Arabidopsis thaliana: one gene and its partners. The protein of the gene in region 1 interacts with the protein of each later gene in a pairwise test. Each region holds a gene or a part of one and is shown in the gene's direction. Other genes may lie near its edges. The genes, in order: AT5G42370, AT3G01360, AT1G03660 and G1.

Evidence for each region.
Region 2: the proteins of AT5G42370 (region 1) and AT3G01360 interact in a protein complementation assay, tested with the Arabidopsis thaliana proteins (one large-scale study listed by BioGRID).
Region 3: the proteins of AT5G42370 (region 1) and AT1G03660 interact in a protein complementation assay, tested with the Arabidopsis thaliana proteins (one large-scale study listed by BioGRID).
Region 4: the proteins of AT5G42370 (region 1) and G1 interact in a protein complementation assay, tested with the Arabidopsis thaliana proteins (one large-scale study listed by BioGRID).

What each region holds. Positions count from the first base shown.
Region 1 is NC_003076.8:16,938,320-16,944,047, reverse strand, and holds AT5G42370 (Calcineurin-like metallo-phosphoesterase superfamily protein), read left to right. Parts: upstream 1-2,313; 5' UTR 2,314-2,584; coding exon 2,585-2,701; intron 2,702-2,877; coding exon 2,878-3,288; intron 3,289-3,382; coding exon 3,383-3,523; intron 3,524-3,634; coding exon 3,635-3,742; intron 3,743-3,828; coding exon 3,829-4,134; intron 4,135-4,294; coding exon of another isoform or gene 4,295-4,353; coding exon 4,354-4,549; intron 4,550-4,636; coding exon 4,637-4,719; 3' UTR 4,720-5,067; downstream 5,068-5,728. Other genes in the region: CML37 (calmodulin like 37), read left to right, coding at 733-1,290.
Region 2 is NC_003074.8:135,425-140,416, reverse strand, and holds AT3G01360 (plant viral-response family protein (DUF716)), read left to right. Parts: upstream 1-1,685; coding exon 1,686-2,645; 3' UTR 2,646-2,647; exon of another isoform or gene 2,648-2,823; intron 2,824-2,856; 3' UTR 2,857-2,956; coding exon of another isoform or gene 2,957-3,839; 3' UTR 3,840-3,923; downstream 3,924-4,992. Other genes in the region: CFM2 (CRM family member 2), read right to left, coding at 54-561, 695-1,384; AT3G01350 (Major facilitator superfamily protein), read right to left, coding at 2,957-3,839, 3,924-4,459.
Region 3 is NC_003070.9:910,646-915,795, reverse strand, and holds AT1G03660 (Ankyrin-repeat containing protein), read left to right. Parts: upstream 1-1,987; 5' UTR 1,988-2,142; intron 2,143-2,200; exon of another isoform or gene 2,201-2,264; 5' UTR 2,265-2,445; intron 2,446-2,559; 5' UTR 2,560-2,630; intron 2,631-3,530; exon of another isoform or gene 3,531-3,713; intron 3,714-3,874; 5' UTR 3,875-4,036; coding exon 4,037-4,360; 3' UTR 4,361-4,486; downstream 4,487-5,150. Other genes in the region: AT1G03670 (ankyrin repeat family protein), read left to right, coding at 1-258, 340-887, 957-1,574; AT1G03650 (Acyl-CoA N-acyltransferases (NAT) superfamily protein), read left to right, coding at 4,693-4,936.
Region 4 is NC_003074.8:19,208,594-19,212,545, reverse strand, and holds G1 (transmembrane protein G1P-related 1), read left to right. Parts: upstream 1-1,696; 5' UTR 1,697-1,882; coding exon 1,883-2,653; 3' UTR 2,654-3,031; downstream 3,032-3,952. Other genes in the region: ATG2 (metallopeptidase M24 family protein), read left to right, coding at 243-458, 544-680, 767-858, 920-1,120, 1,209-1,285. UniProt on the Arabidopsis thaliana protein: Heme-binding chaperone that may be involved in cytochrome c maturation in mitochondria.

The sequences.
Region 1 (5,728 bases):
AACTGAATTGTTTGAACAATATATGCTGGGCCGAGTTAAACCGTCGAGCTTAGAAAGCCGAACTATACATCAGTAAAAGCTTTTACATGAAGTTGGCATTTGAGATGCAAAAAGATAAAAATAAAACTCTCTTTTGGTCCATATAGAAATATATTTTCTTATGGAAAGGGAATTCAGGACCGGGAATGTAACAGTTAGATGAAACTTCATCACATGAAATATTTTATTTTTAATTCAAGTTTCTAGGAACAGAGGAAGTCATACCACTTTCGTGGAGCATATCTGGACGGTTATATGAAACTTCATGACAGTTTAACAATTTAAAAGACCAAAACCACGTGTCCGCACATCGTATACTCAATCAAAGTCAAAGAGAAGGTTTGCTACTTTTCTTAATCTAGTCGTCGATATGACATCACATTTCACACAATACGTGAGAAAAACTTACCATCACATTATTACGAAAACACCCCTAGTCGTGGTCAACTTGACCTTTCCCCACAAACACTCATTGCGGAGGAAACTTCCCGGCCACCGCCGCGCAACCGCCTCTAGCTTTAAATAATAACACCAAAATATTCAAACCCGTGTTTTAACCGTCGAACAATCAAGAATCTCTCCACCATTACACGCATTCACATACTCATCTATATATAATCTACCACTTCTTGAAAAGAATTTGCATCAGAAATCCATTTCCCAAATCTTCTAGATTCATATTCAAATCAAGAAATGACTCTCGCTAAGAACCAAAAATCATCATTGTCACGACTATACAAGAAAGTTTCCTCGAAGAGATCAGAATCGTCAAGAAACCTTGAAGACGAATCAAGAACGAGCAGTAATAGTAGCGGAAGCAGCTCGTTAAACGTTAACGAGCTAAGAACCGTTTTTGACTATATGGATGCAAACTCAGACGGGAAAATCTCCGGTGAAGAGCTACAAAGCTGCGTTAGTCTCTTAGGCGGCGCGTTATCGTCACGTGAGGTGGAGGAAGTGGTGAAGACATCAGACGTTGACGGAGACGGGTTTATAGATTTTGAGGAGTTTTTGAAGCTTATGGAAGGGGAAGATGGTAGTGATGAAGAAAGGAGGAAGGAGTTGAAAGAAGCGTTTGGGATGTATGTTATGGAGGGGGAAGAGTTTATTACGGCGGCGAGTTTACGGAGGACGTTGAGTCGACTCGGCGAGTCGTGTACGGTTGATGCTTGTAAGGTTATGATTCGTGGGTTTGATCAGAATGACGATGGAGTTCTCAGCTTTGACGAGTTTGTTTTGATGATGCGTTGAGATGATATATATGGGATTGGGACATCTTCCTTCCCTCCTCAAAATTTTATTCATTCAATTATTATTTTTGTGAGAGATTCTTATTCCTTTGTATATTTGTGTCTCATCTAATCTATTTGTATTATTTAACACACTTCATAATAAACGTGTCTTGTTTTGATATTCTGAATTTGTCAAAACATACAAAATGTGTTTATATGTCTCCCCATAACTGAGAATACCCAATTAAGGGGACTAAAATCTAAAACTGCGAGTCGTAAAAGAGGCCAGTCATCACCACCATTTGCCGCTCGACCAATGTCACTAGGTGAGTGAGAAACAACCGATAACGCGCGTATATTCTCACATCACTCATTTTTTGGTAGAGGTCGGTAAAACATTTCATATCGTTTGACGTTTGTAAATCTACAGTTTTATTATGCTAGAACAATGATATTGATTCACATTATTGGATGTTTCTATAATTACAGTTACAAACAGATACATAATTATTGCACCAATTCACTTTTTCTATTCAATAAGAGATAATATTGTTTGTAAACCTTTTAACTAAAACGATCCGCTTCGAAACTTGTTTCTTAATGTCTAAAACAATATTACACTTCACAATTTTGCCATCCGTAGAAGTCTCTAGTGTAAAAAATTCTGAATTTGCATGGTTCCGGGGAAATTTTATACAATCTAGAAAATTGGAATAAAATTTTCATAAAATTATTTTTTTGGTCGGATAAAGTTTTCATAGAAGAACACATATTAAATGGATTTATCATCACATAGTAGTAGATAAACAATTTAAATTATGTAATACAAATCAAAATGAATTAATCTATTTGCCACATATAGTGAATTTGATTTCTATTCAAAGGGGAAAATACAAATTCATTTTTAATATGTAGTAGATATTTGTTTCTCAAGTAATTAATATTCATATTTAAAAAATCATTGCATATGTTAAACAAATCTACAAAAAAATTCAATGGTCATTCCATAATTATAAATAATACGGATATTTCACAAATTCACTTTTTGTTTGGAACCCAGAAAAAAGATTCATAAAACCAGGCAATAGAAATTTCATCTGAAGAAAAGAAAAAGTAAAGCTATTAAAAATCAAAGCCACGAGAAGAAAGTAGAAAAAGTTACAGTCTCTGTCTATCAAAATCCCAACGGTAACTGAAAATCGCCGGAACCGAATCTGCGGCGAGCCAAAACTTGTGGATCTTTTAATGAAAACTTGAAGATTCCTCTTTCCACGGTTGCTTCTAGGGTTTTCTCTTCGATTCACCACATCGTCATGAACCAAATCTCTTTCTGGTGCCTTTCTTTACTCCTTACGGTGGTGATTGCTGCAGAAGAGACTCCTATCACTCGTATAGCCTTCGGATCATGCGCTAATCAAAGTGCTCCACAGGTAAATCAATCGTACAACCCCTACTTGGCTCTGGATTCAGTGTTTTAAGACTGCTCTGTTTGGCTGGTGTTTAAGTGAGCTGATTATGGTTTTTGTTTAATTAGCCGATGTTCTCTTAGATGATATAAGCTTGTGTTGCATACTATGTTAAACATTGTATTTTTGTTACATTTTAGCCGATATGGGATGCGATAAACAAGTTTGATCCGCAACTGTTTATTTGGTTGGGTGATAACATCTACGGAGATATAAGAAGACCACTTACAGTCATTGGGAAAGAGAGAACTTTTGGGCCATGGAGGAATTCACCGAGGTTTGTACCTTCTTCAGAGGAAGAAATGAAACTAAGATACGCTAAAGCCAAAGCTAATCCTGGATATTCTCGTATTCAGAGAAAAGCTAAGGTTATTGGTACATGGGATGATCATGATTACGGATTGAATGACGCTGGAAAAGAGTTTGATCGTAAAGTCATTAACCAAAAACTTATGCTTGATTTCTTGAATGAGCCTCTTGATAGTCCTAGGAGAAAGCAAGCTGGTGTTTATGCTTCTTATACTTATGGTCCGCCTAATCGGAAAGTTAAGGTATTAACAGAAACTCTTGTCTTCTTTGGTAGTTTTGTTAAGTTTAGAATGAAGAGCTTATATGTGATTTAACACAGTTGTGTATCTCCTTCAGGTTATAGTTTTAGATACTAGATATCATAGAGACCCTTTAAGAAGTGACGGGAGCATATTGGGTGATACGCAGTGGGACTGGCTCGAAAATGAATTGAGCGGTCCCCGAAGCGAAATCACTATCATAGGATCCTCTGTTCAGGTATCTGCAAATTAGACTTTTGTGTCCTGTTCCAGTTTGGCCATGGACTTAAACTTGATGAAGCCTGAGTGTCTTATTCCATCTAGAACTGTTGTCTCTTAACTTGTCCAGGTGATATCAAATCTTTCTGCTACCACTGGACCTCTCTTTTATATGGAATCATGGGGTCGTTTTCCAAAGGAAAGGAAACGTCTTTTTAAACTGATAGCAGATACTAAGGTATGGGATTGTTGACAGTAATGTTTCCAACTGTCAGTTTTCTTCTTTCCTCGTCCCCATAATTCTTCGTTGCTTTGACATTACAGAGAGATGGAGTTATATTCATCAGTGGAGATGTACATTTTGGAGAAATCACGAGATATGATTGTTCTGTTGGGTACCCATTATATGATGTCACCTCCAGTGGTCTAGTACAATCTGTTGAGAAAGTTGTCCCTCGTCCCTTGCGTTCCATAGTTAGGCTTCTTTTTTGGTATACTCCAAGCACGATGAGAGTTATCAATGATAACTGCAAATTCAAATCTTGCACATACGGTATTATTCTCAATTTGATTCCTTTTACGTTTTCTTCTGATAAACTGTGGAAAGATTTATTGACAAGCCAAGACACAGTGAGTCTACTTTAAGTTCCAACTTTAGCTCTATAGCTCTACTGTCACTAACCTAGGACGGAATATAGTAGACTGTAACTGTTGTGAGTTGATTTAACAGAGCAGCGATGTACTCTTTTGTATGATTACATTGGTTACAATATCTTAAACTTACGTGCAGGACAACAAAATTTTGGAGCAATATCGATAGATTGGAATGCAAATCCGGTTACCATAAAGCTCGAGATCAGAGATGTTAACGGAGACACTGTACTAGGCACGAATGTTTCATTATCTGAACTCCAACCAGGAGGCTCGAATTCTTTAAAAGATACAACAACTAAGGGAAAGTCTCAACGATATTGCACACTCGAAATTGAATTACCAGGAACGACCAGATACCGATTGGCAGTTCTCATCTACTTCACCATTGCTGGTATGTCATTCTTCCTCACTGTGGTTGGTCATGATGAAAGAATGTTGCGGAGTACTGATATATACGTTGTTTGATTGGGTTCGACAGTCTTGGCAATGGCGATATTAGGACTTATCATTGGAGCTGTATTGGCCATAACAGCATGCGTTTATAAATGCAAGGTCGATTGATTGTTGATGACATTAATCAACTTTTTTTGGTCCAACAAAAGTGTCTTTATGACTTATAATCTGTATTAGTTGGATTATTCAGGGATTACAATTCGGATGTAGCTTATAATGTTAAAAATTGTTGAACACATGGATTTTGATCTTGTGATGGGAATTCTAAGCTTGAGCTGTTATTAATTAAACTTCTTTGAAAGAGAATGTTTGTGAACACAAGTTAAATTCTAGACTACATGCAATAGCATTATAGTTTCCAGTTTCTTTTTTCTTTTATTATTGTAAACCAAGGTTTATCGTTTATTACATATGAAGGTTTTCACTGTCTATTTGTAATAAATTAAACAAATTAAAGTTTTTATAATTTCAGTAATGATCTCAAAACGGATACTAGCTTTGATTGGTGAACAAAAACAAAGTATATTGGCTTTGATTGGTGAACAAAAACAAAGTATTACAATTTGTACCGCTTTTATTTCTGTTAATTACAAAAGCTTTTTTAAAGCGTTACAAAAAGTTTTACTCTCAGCTTTATTACTATATAGCTTTCTCGTACAACTATTTTTTTACAACTTTGCAGTATTCCGAAAAAGTTTTTATCACCGTTAACAGTTAAGATTTGAACAGCTGTATGTTACCGATAGGATCCACTATACTTCCCAAATCTGATGTTAATTAGTAATATGAGGTTAATTTTTTACTATTTTATTGAAAAAGCGATATTCTTGCAATTGACCCATAATTGAGTCAGCTTAATTTCCATTTATTTTTTTTTTGTTTTTTATTTATTTTTTTAGCTTCCGCTTTCTGCAGTATGATCTATTTAAAATAAAATAAAAAAGGGAAAAGTGGGAAATCGATGCGTCAATCTTAGGTCTCCGAGGTCTCAATTATTTCATCTTCTTCGGTGATTTCTGGGGAAGATGCTCTGGATTTGGGAAAGCAACTCTGTCGATGGATGAATCTCTTTTCGAAACTTCTGGGTGATATGCTCAATGTGAGTGAAATTGTTCTT
Region 2 (4,992 bases), on another chromosome or scaffold:
TAACAATCTTTTCGTGTCTAAATGAAGCTAAAATCAGGTGAAACCAAGCTTACCTAAAGCAAAATGACAAGGGAGTGGTCTACCAAGTCTCCTTATTGTGGTCATTTCATCATCAGTTAGTTTTGGACTGACGCCATATGGAAGAAGGCGAAATGGTCTCCTGTAGTCAGGTACTACGGCTGGCAGAAGATCACCATCTACGGGAAGGGGATCATATGCCCACCAGTCAGTAAATCTTGGACCCAATCCTTCCAACAAACGGTCTGCTTCTTCTACAAGCTGTACTTCCCCGGGTAATTGAAACCTAACCTTATCCGGAGAACCAACGCCTTGCGTCAACATCGGTTTAACCATTTTATTAGTAATACTCGGGGCAGAAGATTCTGCAATACTCTGTTTCTCTCTACTATCAACCACTCCTTGATCCATAGATGATGCTCCTGAAGCAGCTTCATGTGCCAAATCCCGATCAGATACAAAATAAGGGTACTGATAATTTACCCCTCTATACAACAATATTTTGCTTCCAGACCTCCAAATGACTAAGCCTCCAGTTTTTGTCTGTAAAATCAACCAGGACAAGTATGAATTTCCGTCTGTGCCATTTGTTGACATGTTCATAGATCTTTCATTGAGAGTCAAATGTTACTATCAAATCCCTATCATGAAATCAAAAGTAGAGAGGCAAACAAACCTCCAAGACGTCATGGGTCCGTTTCATGTTCATTCTGGAAATATCTTCGCAGAAAATCTTCACAACCTCCGTCGTCCTCCATCTCTCGTGAATCCCATTCACAATCCCTTCCGTAATCCCAGCCTTGCCAATCTTCAGCTTCTTCGTCAACCTAATCCCCACCGTCCTCAACCGCCTCAGCTCCGCCGGCGGCAATGTCAATTCCGCCAACGACGGAACCTTCTCCTCCTTCTTCCTCTCCATCTCCGTTTCCTTCTTCCACACTCTCTTCAACTCATGGTACCTTGAAATGGCAGTACCCGACCCGGGCTTCGGAACCGGGTAACTAGGCGTGCTCCAGCTTGTGTCAATCGTGTGCCCGACCCGGTGAATCGGAAGCTGCTTAGGCAACGGAACGAATATCTCTCCTGGGGAATTCTTACCAGATTCTTCTCCCGTGATTCTCCTAGTCGGTGAATCATGCTTCTCTTCCACGAATCCAAGGCTACGAAGCTTCTCAGCGATTCTCTGGATAGCCGATTGGGGAAGAGTCTTTCGACCGGAAGCAGAACTACAGAAGATGCCGGAGTTCGCTCGACTGACATTGCGTCGCGAAACTAGGGTGTTGGGAACAAGGAATGGCGGGAAAATTCGATCGGGAAAGGTTTTGGCAAGTATCAATGGTTGCTGGTGAAACAGTGGAAGCAACATTTCTCCAAGCAAACTGGATTACGCAAGCGGAGCTATATGCAGCAGCAGCATATCCATAGAGGTCACATGATTGTCACGTGATGGTTAGAATATTTAAACATGAACTATTTGAAGACCCCAGTAGGCCCATATTGAGTTATTGGGCTACTAGCCTATCCCATTTTGGGTTATTCGGGTCGGGTCGGATCTTTCCGGTTTATCAGATCAGAAGCTCGATTCTGTTAAGCTTTAATGGCGGAAAAATCCAAATTTCCTCGAAAGAAGTATAACCTGATTCGCAGAGATTGTGAAGATTGGAGTCATGGGTATATTAAGTTACGCCGTCGCCGGCGGTGGATTTGCAGTAATCGGCGCGTGGGAGTCACTGGACTCATCGAACCTGGATCCGAATTCATCTTCTGGTACTGCTGATTCATCTTCCCCTATGGCTCAGATCAGAGCTTCGCCGCCAAAATCTGTTGGATCATCTTCCATCCCCGTAGCTTTGCTTTCGTCTCTGTTTATTGCGAACTCGTTTTTCTCCTTCTTCAGCTCAATCGGATCTCGCGATCGGGTCGGGTCAATGATCCAGTTACAGATCGTGGCAGTGGCAGTACTATTCCTATATTACGCCATTCTAACATATCTGGTCAACTCCAAAAACGCTGTCTTTGTTGCACTTCCGTCTTCGATTACAACTTTATTGCTTCTCTTTGGCTTCATTGAGGAGTTCTTAATGTTCTACCTGCAAAAGAAAGATGTTTCTGGAATCGAGAATCGTTATTACGATCTCATGCTCGTGCCCATTGCCATCTGCGTCTTCTCCACGGTTTTTGAGCTCAAATCCGACTCTAGCACGCATCGGTTTGCGAAATTAGGTCGTGGGATCGGTCTGATTCTGCAAGGAACATGGTTTCTGCAAATGGGTGTATCGTTTTTTACCGGTTTGATCACTAATAACTGTACGTTTCACGAGAAGAGCAGAGGCAATTTCACGATCAAGTGCAAAGGACACGGTGATTATCACCGAGCAAAAGCTATAGCTACTCTTCAATTTAACTGTCATTTGGCTCTAATGGTAGTTGTGGCTACTGGTTTGTTCTCTGTCATTGCTAACAAGAATGGTTATCTCCGTCAAGATCATTCTAAATATCGACCTCTCGGAGCTGAGTTGGAGAATTTAAGTACTTTCACACTTGACTCTGATGAAGAAGACGAGGTTCGAGAAGAGAGCAACGTAGCTAAAGAAGTTGGTCTCAATGGAAACAGCTCACATGATTAAAGGTATAAATCAAAGTTTCAGACTTTTTTTTTTTTGTCTGTTTTGAATCTGTCCATTTTAGAAATGTTGTTGGTCAATGGGAGGATTAATGATGATATGTAATCAAACACACGAGATAATAATAATGTTGAATCTTTTGCATTTGATATTATAAGATACTGTTTCTTATGAATAAAAATCTTACAGTTGTCTATCTCTTTTGGTTTGCTAGTTAGTTCTAAAGCTACTACTACAGTTAGATCATTCGTGGAATCTTATGGCAAACGGTTATCTAAGTCGACTGTGTCAAAGGAATCAAAGTTTTTCTTCTTTCATTTAGGGGCTTCTTCTTTTTCATCGCCTTGATCACTGCTACTCTTGAAAAACTTGCATAGAAATATGTAGACTACAAAGCTTATTGTACTTGTAAGAGCAAGAAGCCAGTAGTATTTGTCAAGCCGAGCTTCCGACATATCATCTGCAAACCAGTTTTGTCGGTCACCTGTTGAGCTCGAGTAAGCCTCGACAATTGAGATCAGTGCGGCGCTCACAAAGCTTCCAACACCAAAAACACTTGTGTAGAGAGCAAATCCCATTGTTCTCATTCTTACAGGAACCTCACTGTAGAAAAACTCTTGCATCCCAACGACTGTGAATATATCTGAGATTCCCAAGAGGATGTACTGAGGCAGCAGCCAGAAGATGCTCAGTGGGACGGTTTCTGGATCATAATCAGGTAAAGTCTTCATCTTTTGGCTTATGGCTAGTCTTTTCCTTTCGACTATTGCCGCAATAACAATGGCAATGATGGATAGAAACATTCCGACTCCCATTCTCTCCATCACAGAGATACCTGTACCGTTTTTCTTGATTCTCTTGGTAATAGGTATCAAAATCTTATCATATAATGGCATAAGCAGGATGATTGATAATGTGATCGTGCTTTGCAGGGTTGCAGGTGGGATTTTGAAGTTGGACCCAATGTTTCTCTTCATAGTCACACCTTGTTTGGTGAAAAAGGTTGCTGGTAGCTGGAAGATAACCGCGAACATGAGAAGCATCATCCATATGGGGAAAAGGCGAATCACTAACTTAACATTATCAATTCCAGAGAAAACCGTTTTCGAGCTCTCGTCATCTTCCAATCCTTTGGAGGTTGTTGAAGGAGTCTCAATGTCTTCGGTCTCACATTTACAGAGAGGCCTCTCCTCTAGCCTACATAAACAGGTAATCATTAGTCGCTAAAAAACTTAAAAGACTAATTAGTTTCATGAGATATCGTGGTTTTTCCGAACTTACTCAAGCTCCATAGCATCCAAATCTTTCTCATCTGCAAGTGTATATATGCTTCTCTGCTTCACTACTCTCCCTTTAATGAATTTAAGAATCTTCTCAAAAGGTGTAGTAGTTGTTTTCTTCTTCAGACGGGCGCCCGGAGCATAAACATAAATTCCACAACCCGACATGAACACCAAAATCGACAGGAATATCACGATACCAGGAATGGCGAAACCGAGAACCCAACCAAAAGTGTCTTGAATATAAGCCATGACTGTGACACCCATAAGGCTGCCGGTGCAGACGCCAAAGTACCACAATTGGAAAAACTGAGTCTTTCGGGTAGCTTTCGCGTCCTTTTGATCACCCGAGGAAAGATCGAAATTCTTATCGAGGTCGTGGTCGAGTTGGTCTGCACCAAAGGCTTGAAGAGAAGGGTTTAAGACGCCTAAACCGATTGAGACAAGACATAGTGAAGAGTAGAGAAAGTAAGAAGAGATAGTCTTAGTAGCTGAACGTGACCCAGCAAATGCCGTCCATGTCAATCCCACTAGTCCCTTCAAAGAAAAAACAGAAATAATATATTAAAAACTACTAACAAAAGAAGATTTTCGAGTTTCCACTAAGCTAGCTTTTTCGCCTATAAGATCCGATAAGACCCATTATAAGCACTATATCAACATTCTAATCAAAATTCCATTATCAACCCAACTATTAAAGGGATCCATATAAACTCCATTAGTGGTAAAAGAAAATTTCTAATCGGACGGTGACCAAGTATCTAATTTCTTAAAGACTCTTTAAGATGGTCTACTTGATCTATTCCTTAACTCGGAAAATGACCCAACACCTAACTTATAACTTCCTTAGATATATCGTCTAAACCAGTTTTTCTTGCACAAGTTAATACCCATTATCAGTTTATCACTTAATGACTGCTTAATCAAGCATATACATAGACATCTAATAGAAGGCCAAAACATTATCAAAATATAACCAATTCTATTAACAACGCGATTATAAAATAAGATAAATAAAAGCAACATTCCCTCACCGCCTGACCGTTATTGTCTGACGGTGGAGGAGAGTT
Region 3 (5,150 bases), on another chromosome or scaffold:
GCAAGAACGGAGATACTGCACTACATGCCGCGTTGAAAGGAAAACATGTAGAGGTGGCTTTCTGCCTAGTAAGTGTGAAGCATGATGTATCATTTGATAAGAACAATGATGAAGCATCTCCATTATACATGGCTGTAGAAGCTGGATATCACGAGCTCGTGCTTAAAATGCTTGAATCTTCATCTTCCCCATCTATACTAGCTTCGATGTTCAGTGGAAAATCTGTTATACATGCAGCAATGAAGGCCAATAGAAGAGGTTTGTTTCTATGTTTGTTCAACCTTGTACGCCAAGTGTTCTTTATATGTTTTAATTATTTCTTGGTCATTGCTTTGACAGATATCCTAGGTATTGTTCTTAGACAAGATCCAGGACTTATTGAATTACGCAACGAAGAAGGAAGGACATGTCTTTCCTATGGAGCATCAATGGGATGTTATGAGGGAATTCGCTATATACTAGCAGAGTTTGACAAAGCAGCTTCAAGCCTTTGTTATGTCGCTGATGATGATGGCTTCACTCCTATTCATATGGCGGCAAAGGAAGGACATGTCAGAATCATTAAGGAGTTTCTTAAACACTGTCCTGACTCAAGAGAGCTACTTAACAATCAATGTCAGAATATCTTTCACGTTGCTGCCATAGCTGGTAAGTCGAAAGTTGTCAAGTATCTTTTAAAACTTGATGAAGGGAAAAGAATGATGAATGAACAAGATATCAATGGGAATACACCGTTACACCTAGCCACTAAACACAGATACCCGATAGTTGTGAATATGCTTACATGGAACGATGGGATTAACCTCAGAGCACTCAACAATGAAGGCTTTACAGCTTTAGATATTGCTGAGACGATGAAGGACAATAACGCTTACGTACTTTACAAGGTATGTCAAATTTGAAGATTCATGTAGTTAATGATAAAGTCTCATGTAACTTTTTTTATTGGTTTACAGAGATTGATTTGGATGGCTTTGGTATCTGCTGGAGCACCACATGGCCCAAACCTGATTCCCTTGACTGTGTCACAGAGTAGCAAACAAAGTCCAGAAAGATACAAGGATAGTGTCAATACTCTTATGGTGACTGCAACACTCGTAGCAACCGTGACCTTCGCTGCAGGTTTGACATTACCCGGTGGTTACATGAGTTCTGCTCCACATTTAGGCATGGCTGCATTGGTCAATAAGTTGAATTTTAAGGTATTTCTGTTGTTGAACAACATTGCAATGTGCACTTCTGTGGTAACTGTAATGGCTCTAATATGGGCACAACTGGGTGATGCACTTCTGACAAAGAAAGCTTTTCGACTAGCTTTACCACTTCTGTTAACAGCTGTTGTATCAATGATGATGGCATCTGTGGCTGGACTTACTCTTGTGGTGAGCGATCTCCCATGGCTTTCCCATCTTGTATTAGCCATAGATTCAGCCTTCTTGGTATTCCTGATGCTACTTATCATTCCTTACGCTTTCTCGTCTACAAGACATGGCTTTCTCAGACATATCTTCTACTTTCCTTATTTCTTGATGCTTTTGGTTGTTAGCGAAGGCAGCAACAACATGGATGGTTAAAGAATGCTCTGTTCTGTTCTATTCTGCTCTGTTTTGTATCATGGATGATGGATGGTTAGTGTTCTGTTTGTTTTTAACAGTTTTTGTATCTCACGAGTTTGTAATTGTGGTTTTACTAAGTAACCACAAAAATTGGTACAGAGACAAATATGACCGTTGGCTGTTGCAAAGAGCTCACATGCATGATCCCGACTTTGCTCCTCTCGCTTTCAAGGCCAAATTCTCTGTTTCAAAAATAAGAAACCTCAAATAATTTGTCTTGATAAATTGTTGTTACGCAGTAAGATACAAATATGACCGTTGTGAGGAAATTTCCTTTTCTTTTTTTGCAGCCTAATTAAAATTTCCTTTTTCTTAACCTAGTCGAAAACAAAAAGGAAACAATAGAAATTTCCTTTTTTCTATTGAACAACGTTTGCTTATAAATACTCTTCTTCCTTGTAAAATAACTAATTCTTCATTCATCTTCTTCTTCTTCTTCTTCTGCAAAACGAAAACAAAAGAAACCATCTTTCATTTCTATTTTTCTTCGGAGGATCTATGGATCGATTGGATTTTGACTCAGTCGGTACGTGTTATCTGAAACTATTTTGGTGTGAATCTCTTTTGCTTTTAATTGTGAGTTTCGTTGTTCTGTTTAATCTTTAATAGGGTTTGTTTTGGATTATGTTTATCTTTGATGGTTTGAAGTTTAAGAAGATTTAGAACAATAAACGTCGTCGGCGTTTGATTCCAGTCATCGCCGGAGAGAACAAGGCCCAATCGTCGTTTACAATCACCGTTCTTCCTTGTCCAATTCCATTAGGGCTAGGGATGATGCAGTAACACCAATCTCATAAAGTCATAGTCCTCTCTTTCTTGACCTGTAACGGTAAGTAATTTCCAAAATCCTCTATGCTTTTCTCTTTTTTTTTTTTTGTCTACTGTCTCTAAATTTAGCCCTAAACCAAATATTCACTCCTTTCTTCGTTTTATTCAATTTCAGCCTATTGAAAGTTATCGCCTACTAGATTTGTGGACAAACACTGTTCATCAACAATTCAACACTTATTCCATGTAAGTTATTATTATTATTATTATTATTATTTTTTTTTTTTTAACACGATTCCATGTAAGTTATTTCTTCTATTATTCGTTCATTTTTTAAAAATAATAAATTACAAAATGTTTTTGTTTTCAACAAAAAAATAAAAGTATTTTCAACAGTAGTTTTTAATTTTATTTAACAAACTGTTTTCGTTTACACATATTTAAATTTTTAACAATTGTTTCTCTTCTATTAAAAAATATTTTTAAACTTATATTTTTATATAACTATTAAAACTATAAAGGTTTTTTGGATAAGTGTTAAATTTTTGAATTTTGTGTAAACTAATTGGACATAACATCCAAACCCCTAAGAGGTGTCCTAGGTTCAATATGGTTTACACTTAATTTAAATTTTTAATACTTATCATCATTTTATTATAAAAAGTTTTTAAAATTATATTTTTATATAACTATTAAAATTATAAGGGTTTTTTGGATAAATATTAAATTTTTAAATGTTATGTAAACTAATTAGACACAACATCTAAAACCCTAAGAGGTGTCCTAAATTCAATATGGTTTACACATAATTAAAAATTTTAACATTTGTTTTTAATTTATTAAAAAATGTTTTTAAAATTATATTTTTATATTACTATTGAAACTATAAGTTTTTTTTTGGATAAATGTTAAATTTTTAAATATTGTGTTAAACTAATTAGACACAACATCCAAACCCCTTAGAAGTGTCCTAGGTTCAATATAGTTTACACATAATTTAGATTTTTAACACTTATTTTTATTTTATTTTAAAATGTTTTTAAAATTATATTTTTAAAACTATAAGGTTGTTTTGGATAAAGACAAAAACCCAACCTTTGAATCATCGACTTTTTGCGTTGGAGTCAACGACCTTAATTCAATTATTTAATTGCTTGCTCGGCAAGCTAAACATCGTCGTTGATTGGTACGCACATCCAGACTTCTCCTTTCTTATTTTGATTAAGTCAATGACTTGTTAGGATTAAATATTTTGGTTGCTACAAGTTCAAAACTTCAACATTATTTTCTTCGTCTTCCTTCATCACCTAGATTTCAAAGCGTCTTAAGGTAATCTTTGAGTGTGTATTTTCAAGTTTAAGTTCTAACTATTCTTTTTGGGTTTCAATTGGAAAAAGAGAGTAAGTTTATGATAAAATTTCTGAATCTGCTTTTTAAAACATGTTTTTGTGAAGTCCTATCATCATGTCTCGTTTAATTCAATCTTTCAGAGATATAATAAGCTTGGATATGGCTTTGGGATCTGCTAGTTCACCAAATGGTACACAACCAATTCTCTTGAGTGCTTCACAGCGTCCCAGAATATCTAAACTACAAGAACGTATCTTATTGCTTATGGTGGTACAACAATTGTAGCAGTTGTGACATTTGTTATGGGTTTCACATTTACAAAGATCTACACCAGTTCTGCTCCAGATTTAGGCATCACAGGTTTGGTCAAGAAAGCAGTGTTCATAGTTTTTCTGGTTTGCAATAGCATTCCAGTGCTCTTGTCTGTCATAGCTACAATGAATCTTATTTGGCCACAACATCTGGGTGATATTCCTCTGATACAGCAAGCTATGAAACGAGCCATGGTACTTATCATGTTTGCTTTTTGGTCTATGGTTGTTGCATTTGCATTTGGAGTTTGTCTTGTATTGATGCTCCTTCCATGGCATTCCTTCCATGTCTTTAGCTCCAAAGCACATAAGTGATGTGTATGTAGGTTTGTGAACATTTTCCATTACACATTCAAGCTCTTGATTGTTTCTATCTGCAATCTTTCATAAGTTCGTTCACAGTGATTGATCAAATATGTTGTCTTTTAATTTGGTGTGGTCTCTGATACAGTTCCTCTGTTTCTGGGGACTAAATTGTCACAAAAGTTAAATTTGTGGGTCAAATCACAATTTCAAATAGTTTCTAAAAGTCGTCCCCGCCGTCGCTACGCACCTTCATCAAAATCAAATCACAATTTCCTTGGCTCACTCGCTCTCACCGGCTGCGAAACCAACGAGAGATTCCACAAAATCGAATCTTTTGTACAATGGACAAAGGAGTTGTGGTAGAGCTGATTAGAGGGTCGACCAGTTGGGCCAAAGTTGTGGAAGATATCGTGAAGCTGGAGAAGAAAACGTTCCCTAAACACGAATCTCTCGCTCAAACTTTCGATGCAGAGCTGCGTAAGAAAAACGCCGGTTTGCTATACGTGGATGCTGAAGGAGACACAGTAGGCTATGCCATGTATTCTTGGCCATCTTCGCTTTCCGCTTCAATCACCAAGCTCGCAGGTATAGACAAACGTCCGCCAACTGTTCGATGAAATTACTCAGTGATAAAATTCAGAAAATATAATTTCGTTAGAGAAGAAGTGGAATTATTCTGCCAAACTTCTACTGAAAAATCTTTCAACCATTTGATAAATTAACCTGTAGATTATTATATAGTCAAGGACCAATGATTCTGGTAAATTCGAGAGCTTTCAATAGAAATTCTGACTAGACA
Region 4 (3,952 bases), on another chromosome or scaffold:
TCCTCTCTTGGTCTTGCACGATGCTTTTTTTTTTTAGCGGACTTCAAATGTAAATTGTTTTGGGAAAAGATTTCTGGATGAAGACCGTAATTGTTATGGATTCGCATCCAAATGAGGCCGTAGTTACTCTGATGTGGGAAAGTTCTTTAAAATAAAGTTTCTTGCTACGAGTTTGTAGTTTCTTGTTTAGTACTACAACATATTGCAATCAAGACATTGATATTCTGTTTTTCTTATCGCAGAACACTGATGTAACTGAAGCTATTCAGAAGGTAGCTGCAGCTTATGACTGCAAAATTGTTGAAGGTGTTCTTTCCCACCAGCTGAAACAGCATGTGATAGATGGAAACAAGGTTGTGCTTAGTGTATCCAGCCCTGAAACAACTGTTGACGAAGTGGAATTTGAAGAGAATGAAGTCTATGCAATAGATATTGTGGCAAGTACTGGTGATGGCAAGGTAATTTCTTTTGTTTATCGCATCCCGATCACTATTGGTGAACCTTTGTCTATTGCCATTGTTCTCACAATCTTTGACTTTGCAGCCAAAGCTATTAGACGAGAAGCAAACAACTATTTACAAGAAAGATGAAAGTGTTAACTATCAGTTGAAGATGAAGGCCTCCAGATTCATAATCAGCGAAATTAAACAGAACTTCCCCCGTATGCCATTCACTGCAAGGTGTCTTTTGTACCTTCTGAAGCATTTTATATTCCTTAAACTATTATCTCACTTGCTAACGTTACCTGAGAGTATTATCAATACAGGTCACTGGAGGAGAAAAGGGCACGGCTTGGACTTGTGGAGTGTGTGAACCATGGTCATTTGCAACCATATCCTGTTCTTTACGAGAAGCCTGGTAAGGATGATGAAAGGGTTTTGAATCTATAAACCTCTTTTATCTGAATCTTGATATCAAGGCTCATGTCGTTTTGGTTTTCTACCAGGGGATTTTGTTGCTCAGATTAAGTTCACAGTTTTGCTGATGCCAAATGGATCAGATAGGATCACTTCACATACACTTCAGGAACTTCCTAAAAAGACCATCGAAGACCCTGAGATCAAAGGGTGGTTAGCTTTGGGCATCAAGAAGAAGAAAGGTGGTGGAAAGAAGAAGAAAGGTAAGAACTTAAAATAAATTTCCAGACTTTTACCTTATATGACGTGATCCACATGTTGATTAAAAAGGTTCAATTTGGTGTTTTGCAGCCCAAAAGGCGGGAGAGAAAGGAGAGGCTTCAACAGAGGCTGAGCCAATGGACGCAAGTAGTAATGCTCAAGAATGAGTAGGAAGATTTGTCTTTGTTTCTTTTAAAGAATTTTTGAAACTTGAGGTACCTCTTTCGTTGTATGTTTGGGTTTCAAGAGAGTCTCTTCTTAAACAAAAAAAAACAAACAATAGTTTACCACCTTTGTGCATATTTTTGCACAAAGCACTTTTCATCATCATTTCTTTGCTTGTCCTAATCTTATCTCATTCTCTAATCAAAAATACTTATCTGGTTTCAGGCTATAACAATAACTCTGTTTAGAAACACTTGTTACCAACAAACTACTCTTTGAATGTGTTTACGTGGTAAGGATTTGATCCCACAGAAGAGAAATATTTGTGACAGAAGAAAAAAACTCAGCTCTTCAATAATCGAAGCTTATACAGATTTTTGGATTGGTTGATTTTGAGATTGTAACGAATAGTAATCAGAATTTCACTTAAGAAATTGTGATTGAACCCTCTAAACCACAGAGAGGGTTCTTGACGTGGTCCATAGTTCTTCAGTGGGGCGGCTTGTGGCTTCTTTTTCATTTTTCCAGAAAACCCCATAAACCTCTCGCTCTCGGGAATTTGATTGATTCCCACGAGGAAAAATCAATCTTCCCGGAAAATGGCAGCTAGGTTATTGTTCCGTCGAAGTTCTCAAATCCTCCGATCAATTCAACGAAATCCTCAAATCTCATCGTCATTCGAATCACCACCTTGCCCGATTTTTCACTCATTGACCACCGCCTCACCAGATCCATCGCGATTATCATCCTTAACCTTCCTCCGATCTCTCTCCATCGCTCGTCGCGGTCCAACACGTCCTAAGAAAATCGATATCGGAGCCAAAGCGCGTCAGATGCAGAATCGCCGTTTATGGACCTACGCGCTAACCTTCAGCTGCATCGCCGGATTCGTAGTTATCGTCCTTAACCAATTTCAGGATCAGCTTGTCTTCTACCTAACGCCATCAGACGCTATGGAGAAATTCGCAGAGAATCCAACAAAGAACAAATTCAGACTCGGTGGTTTGGTTCTAGAAGGTAGCGTTGCGCAGCCGGCGGCGTCACAGGAGATGGAGTTTGTGATCACTGATCTGATCACTGATATTTTGGTTAGGTATAAAGGATCTTTGCCGGATCTGTTTAGGGAAGGTCATTCAGTTGTGGTTGAAGGATTCATTAAGCCGTATACAGATGAAGTAAGGAAGGAAGTTTCTACAAAACCTATTTCGAAGAAAGCTAGGAACCTCGATTGTTTCTTCTCGGCGACTGAAGTTTTGGCTAAGCATGATGAGAAGTATATGCCACAGGAAGTTGCGGCGGCGATTGAGAAGAATAAGAAAATTATTGAAGCGGCGGCGACTGAACAAGCTGCTGAAGTTGCGGCTTCTTAGATTGGTATAAACTTCATTCTTTTTAAGTTAATCAAAATTTTCCCCAAGTTCGAGCTTTTGGTGAGTATTGTTCATCTTATAAGGTTATATTTGATTATAGTTTCTGGAAAAGAGTAGGAAGATTGGAATGTTATATTCCTGGAAAACAGAGATTTGATTTTTGAGTCTATTTGAGAATTAAGTGGAGAAATGTGATACACTATACAATAGCTTTGTTTGATTCCACAAAGCTATAAGCTAATCTACTTTCTTGTTGTGTTGATCAAATAAAGAACACTTTGACGAGGGATCAAATATGCTGCTTGATTCATTGTGTTGTTGGATGTTTTGTTTGTTGTTGATGTGCACACAGATTAGAGAAGCTATGTTTTGTTGCTGCACACAGATTAGATTGATCTAGTGAATCTTATTAGCTTCATCAGGTCGTGGGTATATAATTGTAAACGTATCACCAAAGTTGTAGCTTGTGTGACCTTATTCTTATCATGACTAGGTACTATAGCCAAAAGAGTTGAACATACAGGTCTTTCAGAGCTTCCTCTTAGTTGTTCTGGAGGTTCCAAGCTCTTTCTTTGTTGTTTTATAAATATGGGTTGAGCTTGTTGACAATCTTGAAGATGGTCATGCATTCCTTTTATGCATCTTATGTTTCAACTAGGCAATTCTGGCCCTGGAGATTTCAAGTTTGTACTTTCTGAGTCGATTAGGTGCCTAGTTTTTGCCTCTAGAATCATGGCATTGGCTTCTGTTTTGGCACTTCTCTTAGGCTTGTTGGTTGATAACCAACTACTAGTCTACTAATGTAGCTGTAGTTTGAAGTGTTCCGCAGTTACGCTATTGCTTTTGCTTTTTTTAAGTGCATCTTTATATATGCATCAGTCTCTCATTGTATAGCAAATTTATCGTGGGTGGTATATGATTCAGTCAACAAAAACTGACTATCAAGTATGGAACGAGTGGTATATGATTGAGTCATCAAAAATACTGACTATCAAGTATGGAACAAGAGCATTACGATATTTGTCACTACTATATTCGATTGCTATTGTGTGCTTGGTCCATTTTGAATATGGGACAAATCACCATTACTATACTTGCTGCCCTATACTAACTAGATTATTCCATATTCCTCGTAGATAGTTTTTGTTTTTTGGTTCAGAGAAAGTTCAGATTTTAGGCCTATAAGTTCTTTTGGTTGGGGACCATATCAAGTTAAATCTCTCACTATATGCATTGTGGCGGTTCGGCCGACCTGTCTAAAATTGGGCTTGTTCAAATCCTGCCTCAAATCCTGCCAAA